Caenorhabditis elegans: one gene and its partner. The protein of the gene in region 1 interacts with the protein of each later gene in a biochemical or structural test. Each region holds a gene or a part of one and is shown on either strand. Other genes may lie near its edges.

Region 1 (6,948 bases):
AAAAAATGAGTAATTGTGTTTTACTTTTAAGAAAACATTGGATTTTTTTAAAGAATTCAAAAAAAAAAAAGGAATTCAAAAAAAAAATTTTGGAAGCCGACCAAAAAAAATCTCTCCTGACTTTCGTTATAAAATCATTTTTGTTCAAGTGATTAAAAAAATCTTAATTTTTTTTTCAAATAGTCCGCAAATTTGGAAATTTTCCAAAACTTTGACTAAAAATGATGAATAATCTAAAATTAACTCATTGGGTTTTTGTAATTTGCAAAATTTCTTTTAGCTCATTCTAGTATATTTAGACAATATTCACTACACTATAAAAAATCTTCTTCTGTAACTATACCTCATGATATCCTTCTGGAGTAATCTCAGGCGGGGCAGGACCAAAATCGGCAAAAAAGACACCGGGAATGCTGGCTGAATCGCCCATGGTCGCCGACATCCCCATCAACAAGACATCTAGAAAAAGTTTGAATTGAATTTGTAAATATAATTTTTACATTTTTGCACGAAAGTTTTAATATTTCGAAAAAGGGCAGACAATTGCCTACATAGGTATTCCAAAATAATAATTCAATCTTATTTCACATTTTTTAAATGTTTGAATTTTTCTGCTAATTGAATAAACGTTTTAAGCTGAAGTTCAGGATTAACTTTGTCAAGTCAAACTATGCTTTTTATATTAAAAAAATTCCAGAAATTTTCAGATAATCTCACTTTAAACATATAAGCTCGTGTAAAATATGAGTGACACGGATTAGAACCAATCTCTTTTTTATAAAACACTTCAAGCTTTTAAAACGAATTGTCAAAAGAAAATAAGTTTATTGAACTAATTAGTATGTGTAAGGGTGCAATGACAAGAATGACGAATATAAAAAAATATGATGGGATAAAAGCATGAGAGAAAAACGAGACAAAGAGATTCAGAGAAATGGAGAAGTAAAGAGAAAGAGAGAAGGAGACAGAGACATAAAAGGAAGAAGCTATAGAATGCAAGAAAATAAATACTCTGAAAGAATTTGAAAGAGAAGATGGAAAACATCATTATCACCTGTAAAGTGTTGCTATCACTGAACGACAAAGAGACGAGAAAGAGAGAGGGAAAAGAAGTAATACATTTCCGGAATTATATACAATTAATATAATTGAATGAAATCAGCGATCTGCTTCTCCAGGGATTAACGGTGATGAGCTGAGTCTTTTGTAGTTCATTATTTCCTTCCAGACGGCATCTGTAATAAAATATTTTTGCATTTGTTGTTTTTCAAATTTGCAGGTGTGCAGAATTCTATTACGTGATCTTTGAGCCTTACCTCTCCACTCGAATCTTGTTCTAGCTTGAGAGTCATCCAAGTCAAATATATGATCAGCTCTTGGTTCATCTTCTGGAAGTGAAAACTCTGCCAAATATGGATGTTGAATAGCTTCTTCCACCGTAATCCTCTTCTCTGGATCCAAAACTAAAAGCTTCTCAAGTAGATCAATAAAGTCTTCTGATGGATTATGAGCAGAAAATACATCACGGAAATTTCGACGTTTGTGAGTTGTGTAGGATTGAATTACGGCTTTAATTGCAGACGAGTTATCATTTTCAATCTTTGTCAAAAGTTCTTCATCAGGACTTCCACATAATTGAGTAATACGTTGATATTGAGCATTGGGCTCATCACCCGGAAACAGTGGTTCTCCAGTTAAAAGTTCTGCAGCAATACATCCAAGTGACCACATATCTGCCAGATTTGTGTAACTATCAATCTTCCAATAAATGACTTCTGGACTACGGTACCATCTTGTTTGTACATATTGTGTTAGAGAAGTATCTTTCTTTTCCAAGGATCTTGCAAGTCCAAAATCGAGAATCATGAGGTCAGAATCATCGGTCAACGCGAGATTTCCTGGTTTCAAGTCACGATGTATAATCTAAAAAATTTTAATAAATATATTTTCGTGTTTTAGTCATGTTCTTTTTGACTAATTATGGCCTAATCGTGCCTAATCCTCCTATATGAAATTTTATTTAATCTAAAATGCTGATATTTCTATTAAAAAAAAAAGAATGAGCAATGTTCTGTTCACTAACTCCATTGACTTACATTAGCAGAATGAATGTACTTAAGTGCACGTATGATTTGATAAATGATGAATTTGATATGCTCGTCGGTCAGCACGCGCCGTCCATAATCTCTTTGTTGCTTCAAGATCTGATAAAGACTACGACCCGCAAATTCAGTGACAACGTATCTGAAAATTATAGATTGTTTGTAAAACTTTTTTGTAATTACTTACACATCTCGAAAATCGTTTTCCTCGTCAGGTGTGTAGATGTCAAGAGCACAGATGATATTGTCATGTCTCATTAATTGAAGAAGTTTTGTTTCACGGAAGATGCGACGAGCCTGGAAGTTTAAGGTGTTCAAAGGATGTGATCGACCAAATATATTCTCAAAAATGGGTATAAAAACCAAATATCAGCTTTTTGAAATGTTCTTCTAAAGTTTTGGCAATTTTCCAACAAAAAAAAAGACGAAAACAGAAAACAAGATTAGTTTTAAAATTCTGGTTTTGCCCCAAAATTTTGAATCACCACTTCTTGACTGTACATAGAAAAAGTTCGAAAATTTTTAATACGATATTAGTTCATTTGAATTGTAAAAAATATGCTCTAGCTTCAATAAAAATGTATCTTTGTCTTACATGATGTGGATCAAAGAACGGTTCTCGCATCTTCTTTATTGCAACATAACGACGAAGCCCGTCACGGCACACTGCACTTGTTTTTCTGGAAAATATAATCATTCAAATAAAGCACACAAATACTGAAAAACATACATAACATTTCCAAACGAGCCTCCACCCAAATACTCAATGCTGTTTGGCTCGACGTCATAGCCTTCCGGAATTGCAAATGTAATGTTACGGATCATCACAAATTGGAATCGTCGTTTGTGTGGACCACATGGTTTTGAGAGAATATCCTGAAAATATAATGATGATTAAGATTTTGGAATACCTATGGTTGCAATATTGTCAACAATGTTTATTTCTGTAAAGCTAAATTTCTGAGGCATTACATAGCCAGTTTCCTATTTGGTTTGGTCTCTAGTACACGTGCCAATTTTATCATTTGGAAATAAGACGGCGCAATAATTTTGTGTTGCAATTTTTGTAGAAAAAACTTCTCAAAAAATGAGCTATGCGTGCGCGGGGTTAGATTCTTCTGAAAATGTCAATTCTAGTCAATTCTACAAATATTAAGCTAGTTTTGAAACTTTGACAATTATAAAAAAATTAATTATGGAATGTTTTATTTCCATCCTTTTTAGAGTATTAAGGTCGATTTCTTAGATTAAAGTCATACTGAAGCTTTACCTTTATCATTTTTATGATTCTCCGCATATCAACAAAACGCGCGGATTGACTTTCGTCAACTTACGAAATCTAAAATCTTTCTCCCTCACCTCTTCCTCCTCCCCAACCATCTCGTTGTTTCCCGTTGCTTCGATACTCTGCTTCTTAATATTCTCTGCAGCTAACTTTTTCTGTTGTTCCTGCTCTCGTTGTTGTTGCAACCAGGTGTTGGGTTCGTAGCTTTCTGGAGGTTGAGATTGATTATTACTTCGTTTGGTTGGTGGTGCACTTGGTGTTGACACGTCTTCATGACGACGGACATGCGACACTGGGAGACTAGATGACGATGGGACTGACGCCATCTGTAAATTTAAATGGGTTCAAGTTAGGGCTTGAAGTGAAAAAATCAATAACGAAAAGCGTTGTCGGGGGAAATTAGAGGAGTGTCGGGGATTTCAAAATGAAAGTTTTATTGCGAAACACGCCATGTAAACTCGAACACTCAAGCGACCTATATTTTTGCGGAGTGAAGTGTAAAAATTGTGAAACAATGATTTTTTTATTGTTTATGGTCACTACTTTGTTTTCTTTTGGAGGTTTTCGGATTCACTATAACTTTAGGAAATTCGATATTTTAGAAAATATTAGGAATTTTGAATTTATCAACAAAAAAATCAACTCAATCAATGAAGATTAAATAGAAGAATTTCCCATAGTTTTGGCAATTACTAACAATATCTATTTACATTTGAACTGTTAGTAATTGTTCTCTCGCAATTTTTGTAACGCGTACTTAAAGACACATGGATATTTTTGAATTGGGTCTCAAAGAGTCAGATTTAAATGTTATTCGTTTTTGTCTATTTTTGTGAAATTTTCAAAATATTTTTTCATTAATTGTGGAATGGAGGGATCATAAAAAATTCTCAGAACTTTTTCTGATGGCGAGACCCATAAGAGGAATTATGCAAAAAAGGTGCAAAACTACCATGAAATTATGTAAAAGATTCGGGTGCTCAATCAATTGTAATTAATAAAATCGGTGAAATACTTGTGAGCTCAGTTAAATTGAGATGAGCACTACAGTTTGTTTTATATTTTCTTGTTTATTTACTGAGTAGCGTCTCTTTGAATTTCGTAAAAAAGTGTACAGTGTTTGTTCGAATATGAGCAATATTTAGGTTCAAACAAAGTTAATTATAAAGGGTAAATAATATATTTCATTTCAATTTTAAATTATCAGAAAATTCGTCTTTTGTTCAGCGCTCCACTATTATGAAGTTTACCAAAAACAAAATATCTCACCTGTTATTATAATAAAGTTGTAGACTAGACGTTCCTGTATTGATTGATTTTGAGTATATGTTATGATAAAAATACTGGAGAAAACTGAAAAAAGACGGAAGTATAATTATCAGTGACCAAGGAAATTGGAAGAAACAGTGAGGTCAATCAGATATGAGTCAGCAGCGATTGAGACGCAGTGAAAAATGGGAAACGAGAGGAAGACATACAAAGGGCGAAGGTCGAATTTTTTATTTGGTTGATGGAAAATATTATTGTAGATAAATATTTTAAAATATCTACAAATTATTCATCTCCTTTTCGGTTGATCTTTGTGGATACAGAATTTTGAAATTAAAAAAAAACAATATAAATCTGGTTAACATCATAAAACAATGTCTATATTTGACTATTTTCTCTCCTTCTTGATCTTCCTGATCCTTTGCTTCGATTGGAGTTAGTTCGATGTAAAGGTCCCATTGATTTGGATCTTTTTTGACTTGAAGCTTCACTTGATTGTCTTCTACTTGCAACTGACGGCTGCCTTGATCCTAACCGATTTTCCATTATTGAATTCGTGTCAAGGAATCCAGATTGATATCTTCCAACGCTTGTAGCTCTTAGGGTATTATATGGACTTGCTACAAAAATGTTATTCGGAGATCGTCTATGAAGGGAAAGTGTGGAACATCCAGGAATTCTGAAATTATAGATTTACAGAATCTTGTTCCGGTTTGAATGAAGTTCTTACACTGGTGGATACAGTTTCTTTTCATCGTGTGGCTTAACTACATTAGACATTGCGTGTCGATTCTCAAGAACTGGGTACGCAGGTGGAGGTAGAGGTTGATATGGATCTTTCTCAAAGATCGGAGGTAGCGGCTGTAAACGTGTAACAACTAAAATGGGTACATTTTGATTTTGAATTGATACGCATTATTACCTACATTCTTCGTTCTAGTGAACTGTATCTAAGCCTTGTAAGGTTTCAAACACATTGCTGTTTCGGTTAATTTGGCAATTTACCAAAACTATGCCATTTTCAGAAATCTAAAATGTTTTAATAGTTTTTTTTAAATTATGGTACGATCATTTTGAGTTTGTTTAGACGTTAATTTGTTAGCTTTAATTGTTTATATTACTTTCATGAAATTTTCAAAGGTGTAGTCGCAACTTTTACAAGGACATGTGGGTTTCTAATTGAATTTGAATTTTCAATTAATCAAAAAGACTTACCACATAATGTGTTGTAATAGTCGTAAGCCTAGCAGGATCATTGTGCTTCTTTGTGTGGTGTAACGAGAGATCACAGAGCTTTGTTGTGCATAAAAAGTAGATTAATGAAATTATCAAAAACGAACATCCGAGTCCAAATAAAATAGGACCCGCAATTTGAATTGGTGGTGGTCGTATTCTTTGTTCGTATGGCCAAGTCCAGAATGGTGAAGTATAAAGGTATTTATATCCAAGAAGTGACATTAGTAGTCCTCCAATTAGGAGAAAAACGCCGAATGCTGTACAACAAATCAATGATGACGAGCCACGAAATTTTCTTTAAAAAATAATGCTTTTTTCAGGGTTTTTTTTTAAATTTTTGATAAAGTAACTTGATGTATATTTTCTGCGTCTCTGTTGAATTTTCGCGTTGAATATGATGTATTAGGACATACTCCATTAAATTATAATCTACGAGTTATTTAGTTGAGCTATTCAACCCTCATATTTCCAGCTTACAGTTTCAATTATCAAAAAACTAACGATGTTCTATATGGAAAAAATCCAAATGTTGCTGGATACAATATATCCCATCCTTTTGGATAATAATAGAAATATGGATCACGTTGAGCCATTGGTCCAAAATGAAGAACTCTTTGATTTCCAGTCCATTGTTGAGGATCAATCTCACTTGCACCAGCTTGAACCATTTCGTCTTTCTTATCCTTTGCAGTTACGTGAAGCTTGTCTTTAATATTTCGAAAATATTTATGAGTTTTTAGAATCAAATTGACATGAAAACCCCTTATATTTAATACAACAACTCTATATTCTGTGCTACATTCAGTACATCGTGGTGAGACCCATAAAGTCAATTTAAATTACTACTTCTCAGTATTGCTTTGATGGTTATAATTACTGTAGCTGGTATCGATTTATGGGCCGCTTGTACCATATTCTTTGAATTTTATTTTAATTGTAATTTTTAAAAATTTTGTAAGATGTCCGAAGATTTTCAACGACCTGTTAATCGATACCATATTACAGTAATTCGTCTTCGTGGCAAGACCTTTGTGTGTAAAATATAGGAAAAATCAT
Region 2 (4,838 bases), on another chromosome or scaffold:
TAAAATGTTTTCTATCCAATCCAAAAACTTGAGAAATAAAACAGTTATAATTTCAGATTTTTTGTATTATTGTAATATTCATAATTGGACTCAGCCAGTATTGGACTAACCGAGTATCAGCCGTATTTGGACTGGTAAGCTATAATAATCTTCAAGGTCAGAACTTAATGTTTTGTTTCAGCTATTCGTAATCATTGCACTACTGTTTTCAGCTTCAGCGGTGTCTATATTATTTATATGGGATGTTGAAACTACAACCATAGTTAAGGTAATTTTTAAAAGATTTTAAGTTTGAAAAAAAACCCAAACTTCTTAATTCGTTTTATTTTTAATGTTGATAACGCGTAGATTTGTACTGTCAAAAAATTCCAGAGATGTCTATTCACTTTTGTTTTTGCTCTTTCCATTCTCGTCTCTGCAATTCTGTTTTTAATTGCCAATGATGGTTGTGACTCCCGAGCAATAACTCAATACGGATGTTATCAATCAGTTTCCACTGGAACATTCCAAGTTGCTTCAGTATTTTGCTTTTTGGTTCTAGTATTTGGACTTCTGGATCTAGGCCTGAATGCCTTCTATTTTTATCGTAATTCAAAAAAGGCGCCAATTTATGACATTCCGCCACCGTCTGTTGCCGTCATCGAAACGGAAAAGTGGGTCAAGATTTGCATAAAATTAGGAAATATTTTATATTTCATGTCCTTTCAGAAGTATACATGACATTTACATGGAGTATCAACGAAAAGGGCAAACAAGTTCTGTTTAATGGAAAAGTAATCAAATAATTATCAATGCTCAACTTTAAATTCACTTTCTCATAATAATTTGTATATATGAAACATTAATAAAACAATTTTCTGATTCAGTTATATCATTCTGAAAAGTTTCCGTTTTCTGGCAAGCGACGGGTGGATTTTAAAAATCGTTTGCAGACTTTACTTTTTTTTGTTGTTTCACCTTTTTTTGTACAGGAAGCAAATCAAAAATAATAACACATTGGTTTTATTAGAAACAATTAATGAAACATTTAAAGTTAAAAAGTATTGCACATGAATGATTGGAAGTATTGCAGAAAGAGAGGAAGGGTTTTTTGAGAGCGAAAGACTTTGATTGGGGGGCATCTAGCGAGAAGACGAAGAAAATTGGCTTTCTATCCGTATTAGTCAAAAATAAGAAAATGGAATGGGATCAAGGGTGAAGGGCAGTAACAACTGATGCTCTTTGAGCCAAAACTGATTTGAAGTGGGCTATTTCTGCTTTTAGCGTTTCGATTTGGGTACGAAGATCTTCATTTTCACCTTCCAAGAGCTGAAAATGTTAAGTAATAATTGATTCAATAAATTTATATCTAAGTTTTAAAATTTTATGTTTTCTATTAAAATTAGTTTCAACTTACCTGAACTCGTCGTGACCTGTATTCGAATACTGCTCGTCTATTTGCTCTACATCTTTTTGCGGCTTCATTGTTCCTTCGACGTCTGTCCACATATTGGGGCTGAAAGTTTTTTTTTGAAATATTTGACATGTATTTAAAAATGTCTTCTTTCAATTCCTTTAAAAAAACTTACCGATTTGTTCGAATAATTTGAGTGATCTTCCGAAGAATGCGATGGAGAGAAAGATGCTGAAGACGATACACTTTCACAGTCTGATTTGTTTCCAGTATGTCTTGGAGGGGAATTTAGCCCCGAAATATGTTCCGTTCGGCTTTGTGGTACTGTAGGAGAAGGTCTTCGCTGTGAAAGAAGAGCAGATAGCAGGGATGGTCCTTGTTGAACAGCTTGGATTACTGGTTGAGGCGTACCTGATGGAGCAGGCTGACCGACTGAAATAAATTTTAGATTATAGTTTCAATTAATACTAGTGAAATGAAAATATGCTCTTTACTTTCAAAAACAACGACTTACTTTGTTGAATAACGCTAGATCCAGGCTGTAACTGAGGTTGAGGCATATTCACGTCAGTTGATGAATCTGGACTTCTTCGTTCAATTTTCACAATTACGCTACTCGATGGAAAACTCTGCTGAGCACTTTCTGATGGTCGAAAAGGATGAAATGCAGATGAAGACGATGAAGAGAATAAAGATGATGCTGACGTTGATGCAGGTTGTTGAGTGCTCGCATAGACCTACAAACATGGAAAAACGTTATGGGACATCTGTCTTTCTAGGTCACGCATTCAGCTGTCAATGTATTCATTAAATTGTTGACAATCTGAGTTGTGTTGCCAAAAAATGACAATGGAACTTTATATGCGGTTCAGACGTTTTTGTAATAGTAAATATTTTTCCACGAGTTAATTTATTTTATTTAAATCATCACAATTTCGATATTTCCAAGTTCAATAAAATAACTTACCGGTGACTGAATAGTTGTTGGCTGTAGTTGACAAAGCTGCAACATTGATGGAATATGCGAAGCTGCCTGGAGCAATGGAACAGTAAGCATTGAACTCGCTTGCAAAGATGCTATTGGACCCGCTGGGAAAAGATTCTTTGCAACTTGGGGAATAATCAGAGATGTTGGAGGCTCTGTTACTGATGGTTGTGGAATTGGTGTCGTTCCTAACTGAGATTTTAACCGTTCGTTTTCGGCGGAAAGTAACATTATTTTTTCTTCCATTGCTAGATCGTTTTGCCTTCGCTTTTCTCGACTTCTTCTTGATGCATCGTTATTTCTCCGTCGCCTTTCCCAGTAATGTTCATCTTTTATTACACTTTCGTTTACGGAATTTCTGGAAAAATAGTTATCAATGTCGAAAAGTATTTAAACTTTCAAAAGTTTCATCAAACTGTTAAAAATTCAAACCTTCTAGATTCCGGGGGAGATCCTTCTGAAAAGTTCGACGAATCCGACGAGCTCGATGAGAACTCGGCGGATGCCGAACAAACCACCGAAAGTCTGGAGGACGGTGACAATGATGCCGAGTCGACGTCCATCTGAAAAATAAAAATAAGATGATTAAAAGTCAAACAAAAGAAGAAAATCAAGAATATAGAAGTACGAAATTTGAAAGAAAAGAACATCGGTGAAAGAAATATGAATACCAAAATCTTTCAAAATGAATTAAGACACAACATTTATATTTTGACTTCAAAATGTTAGTACACATGGTGTATTGAAATGGAAAGTTAGTAGAGTTAAAAGAAGCTGTCAACCTATTTGATGTAAGGACAAATACGTCTTTTTGAGTTGAAATTGACACGATCTTTGGAGATTCAGCACAATCAGAAGTTCAATGTGTTCACTGTTTCCAGATATTATTAATTAATTGTAAGCCATTTTAATTGACCAATGTGTATACAAAAATTATTCAGTTTTTGGTTTCAGTGAAGATGATCTTACGCAATGCTAATCCCTGAGTATCTAGACAACCAGAAAATCACTAACTTAAAAAAAGGTGAGAAAACAAAGTATATCTGGTACAGGTGTGTTCATATGGTAGGTGTAGAGTGCAGTTAGCAACAATTAAGCGGTGTTGTGCCTCTCCTCAGTTGACCTATTTGCGCCTTGCAAACCAGTTAGCCATGGTCAATGTTTCGGACAATGCTTGGTAGATCCTCTCACTCTCAGTCTCTACAATAAACCAGTCGAAGAACAGGATATCCCCTCCGACTTTCGCCCCCTTCTCTCTTCATTGCAGTCCCTTCTCTTTTTCTTCGACCCGTCTCCTAATCATTTTTCATCGTTCGCAACGACTTCAACGCGTCGCCTCCTCCGATCCATGATGATGCCGACTTTTCCTAATTGTTTTCACTTTCCTTTCGCTTTCATGCTTAACTTTCGCTGCTTCGGGTTACGGATGTATGTGTGTCTAAGTGTGAGAAGGAGGAGGAGGTCAATGGTTGAATTCGTCGCATCAGGTCACTAGTACAAAAGGGTAGGTGAACTTTGCGGAGAATTGGAAGACAAGAGGATGAAGCTACTGGGTGGAAAGTGAATAATGAGATACGGCTAAAAGATAAAGTTGAAAAAGATAACGAAGAAAAAATTGGTAGGTTTAGATAAACAAAAGTCTTGAAAAATTCATAAACGCACTCTAGGTCAGGACTGTAAAATATGACCAATGTGAGTGCAAGCCTGATAGAGAAATTTTGGTTATTTTTCACTGCTGAACACAAAAAATGATACTCAATTCTGAAAGTAATTGTTCAAGAAACTCGGAAACGATACAAGCAAATGTATTCAAAATGAAAAAAATGCGTTGAACTAGATGAACAAATTCGCGAAATCGGGCTGGACTTGTTTGTTTTTGATTGTGCACCTTGAAAAAGAGTGGCGAGAGCCAAAATAACCGCCGCCCGTGTTGGGGGACAATCGTCAGCGAAAAGAGAGAGCTATTTTTGTTTGTTTGTAAGGCTCGGAGAATGACGAGAAGTGAATCACAAACAGTGTCCACTATCCTCCCGCACCGCTTCCAAAACTTTTTTGTCTGCAAACCAGAACAGCCAAATTCACTGCATCATTTGATGATTTTGATGACCAGTGAGTGTGTGCCTGTCCCTTGCTGTGTCTACTTCAGTAGTTTTACATGGAGAGCGGATAATACGGTTAGGTAGAGTAACAGAGTGAGAGTGCACTTTTGGTAGTTGATTGCGAAAGTGAGGTGTTGAAATGATGGTATTCTTGTTGGGAACTGAAAGATCGCAGTTCGATACGAGAAAGAGAGAGTGGCTAGCACGATCATATCGTTCGGGAACGAGTCGGTGAAAGTATGCAGGCTATGGGAAGGAAAGTGAATGAAATTGGAAAAAGAGGAGAGAAAATTGAAATTCAATTTTAGATAAAGGTATCTTTACTTGAATCTAGGATTGTCAAGAAGAACTGTTATTTTCT

Evidence for each region. Proteins that work in one complex are often made in the same cells at the same time.
Region 2: of the proteins of pmk-3 (region 1) and atf-2, one has a biochemical effect on the other in vitro, tested with the Caenorhabditis elegans proteins (one study listed by BioGRID).

The regions. Positions count from the first base shown.
Region 1 is NC_003282.8:8,137,011-8,143,958, reverse strand, and holds pmk-3 (Mitogen-activated protein kinase pmk-3), read right to left. Parts: upstream 4,741-6,948; 5' UTR 4,657-4,740; intron 3,714-4,656; coding exon 3,462-3,713; intron 2,979-3,461; coding exon 2,833-2,978; intron 2,783-2,832; coding exon 2,698-2,782; intron 2,400-2,697; coding exon 2,290-2,399; intron 2,245-2,289; coding exon 2,097-2,244; intron 1,924-2,096; coding exon 1,317-1,923; intron 1,236-1,316; coding exon 1,159-1,235; 3' UTR 808-1,158; downstream 1-807. Other genes in the region: Mitogen-activated protein kinase pmk-2, read right to left, coding at 344-448; islo-1 (Interactor with SLO-1), read right to left, coding at 5,035-5,335, 5,387-5,517, 5,872-6,187, 6,394-6,598. UniProt on the Caenorhabditis elegans protein: Responds to activation by environmental stress and pro-inflammatory cytokines by phosphorylating downstream targets. Involved in axon regeneration after injury, probably downstream of dlk-1 and mkk-4 and upstream of mak-2. May phosphorylate mak-2.
Region 2 is NC_003280.10:8,750,089-8,754,926, reverse strand, and holds atf-2 (Transcription factor atf-2), read right to left. Parts: upstream 2,942-4,838; coding exon 2,811-2,941; intron 2,737-2,810; coding exon 2,361-2,736; intron 2,131-2,360; coding exon 1,908-2,130; intron 1,826-1,907; coding exon 1,569-1,825; intron 1,496-1,568; coding exon 1,397-1,495; intron 1,309-1,396; coding exon 1,189-1,308; 3' UTR 994-1,188; downstream 1-993. Other genes in the region: K08F8.7 (MARVEL domain-containing protein), read left to right, coding at 57-134, 182-268, 373-653, 709-766. UniProt on the Caenorhabditis elegans protein: Acts as a transcription factor that recognizes and binds to the sequence 5'-[GA]TTA[CT]GTAA[CT]-3', a sequence present in many promoters.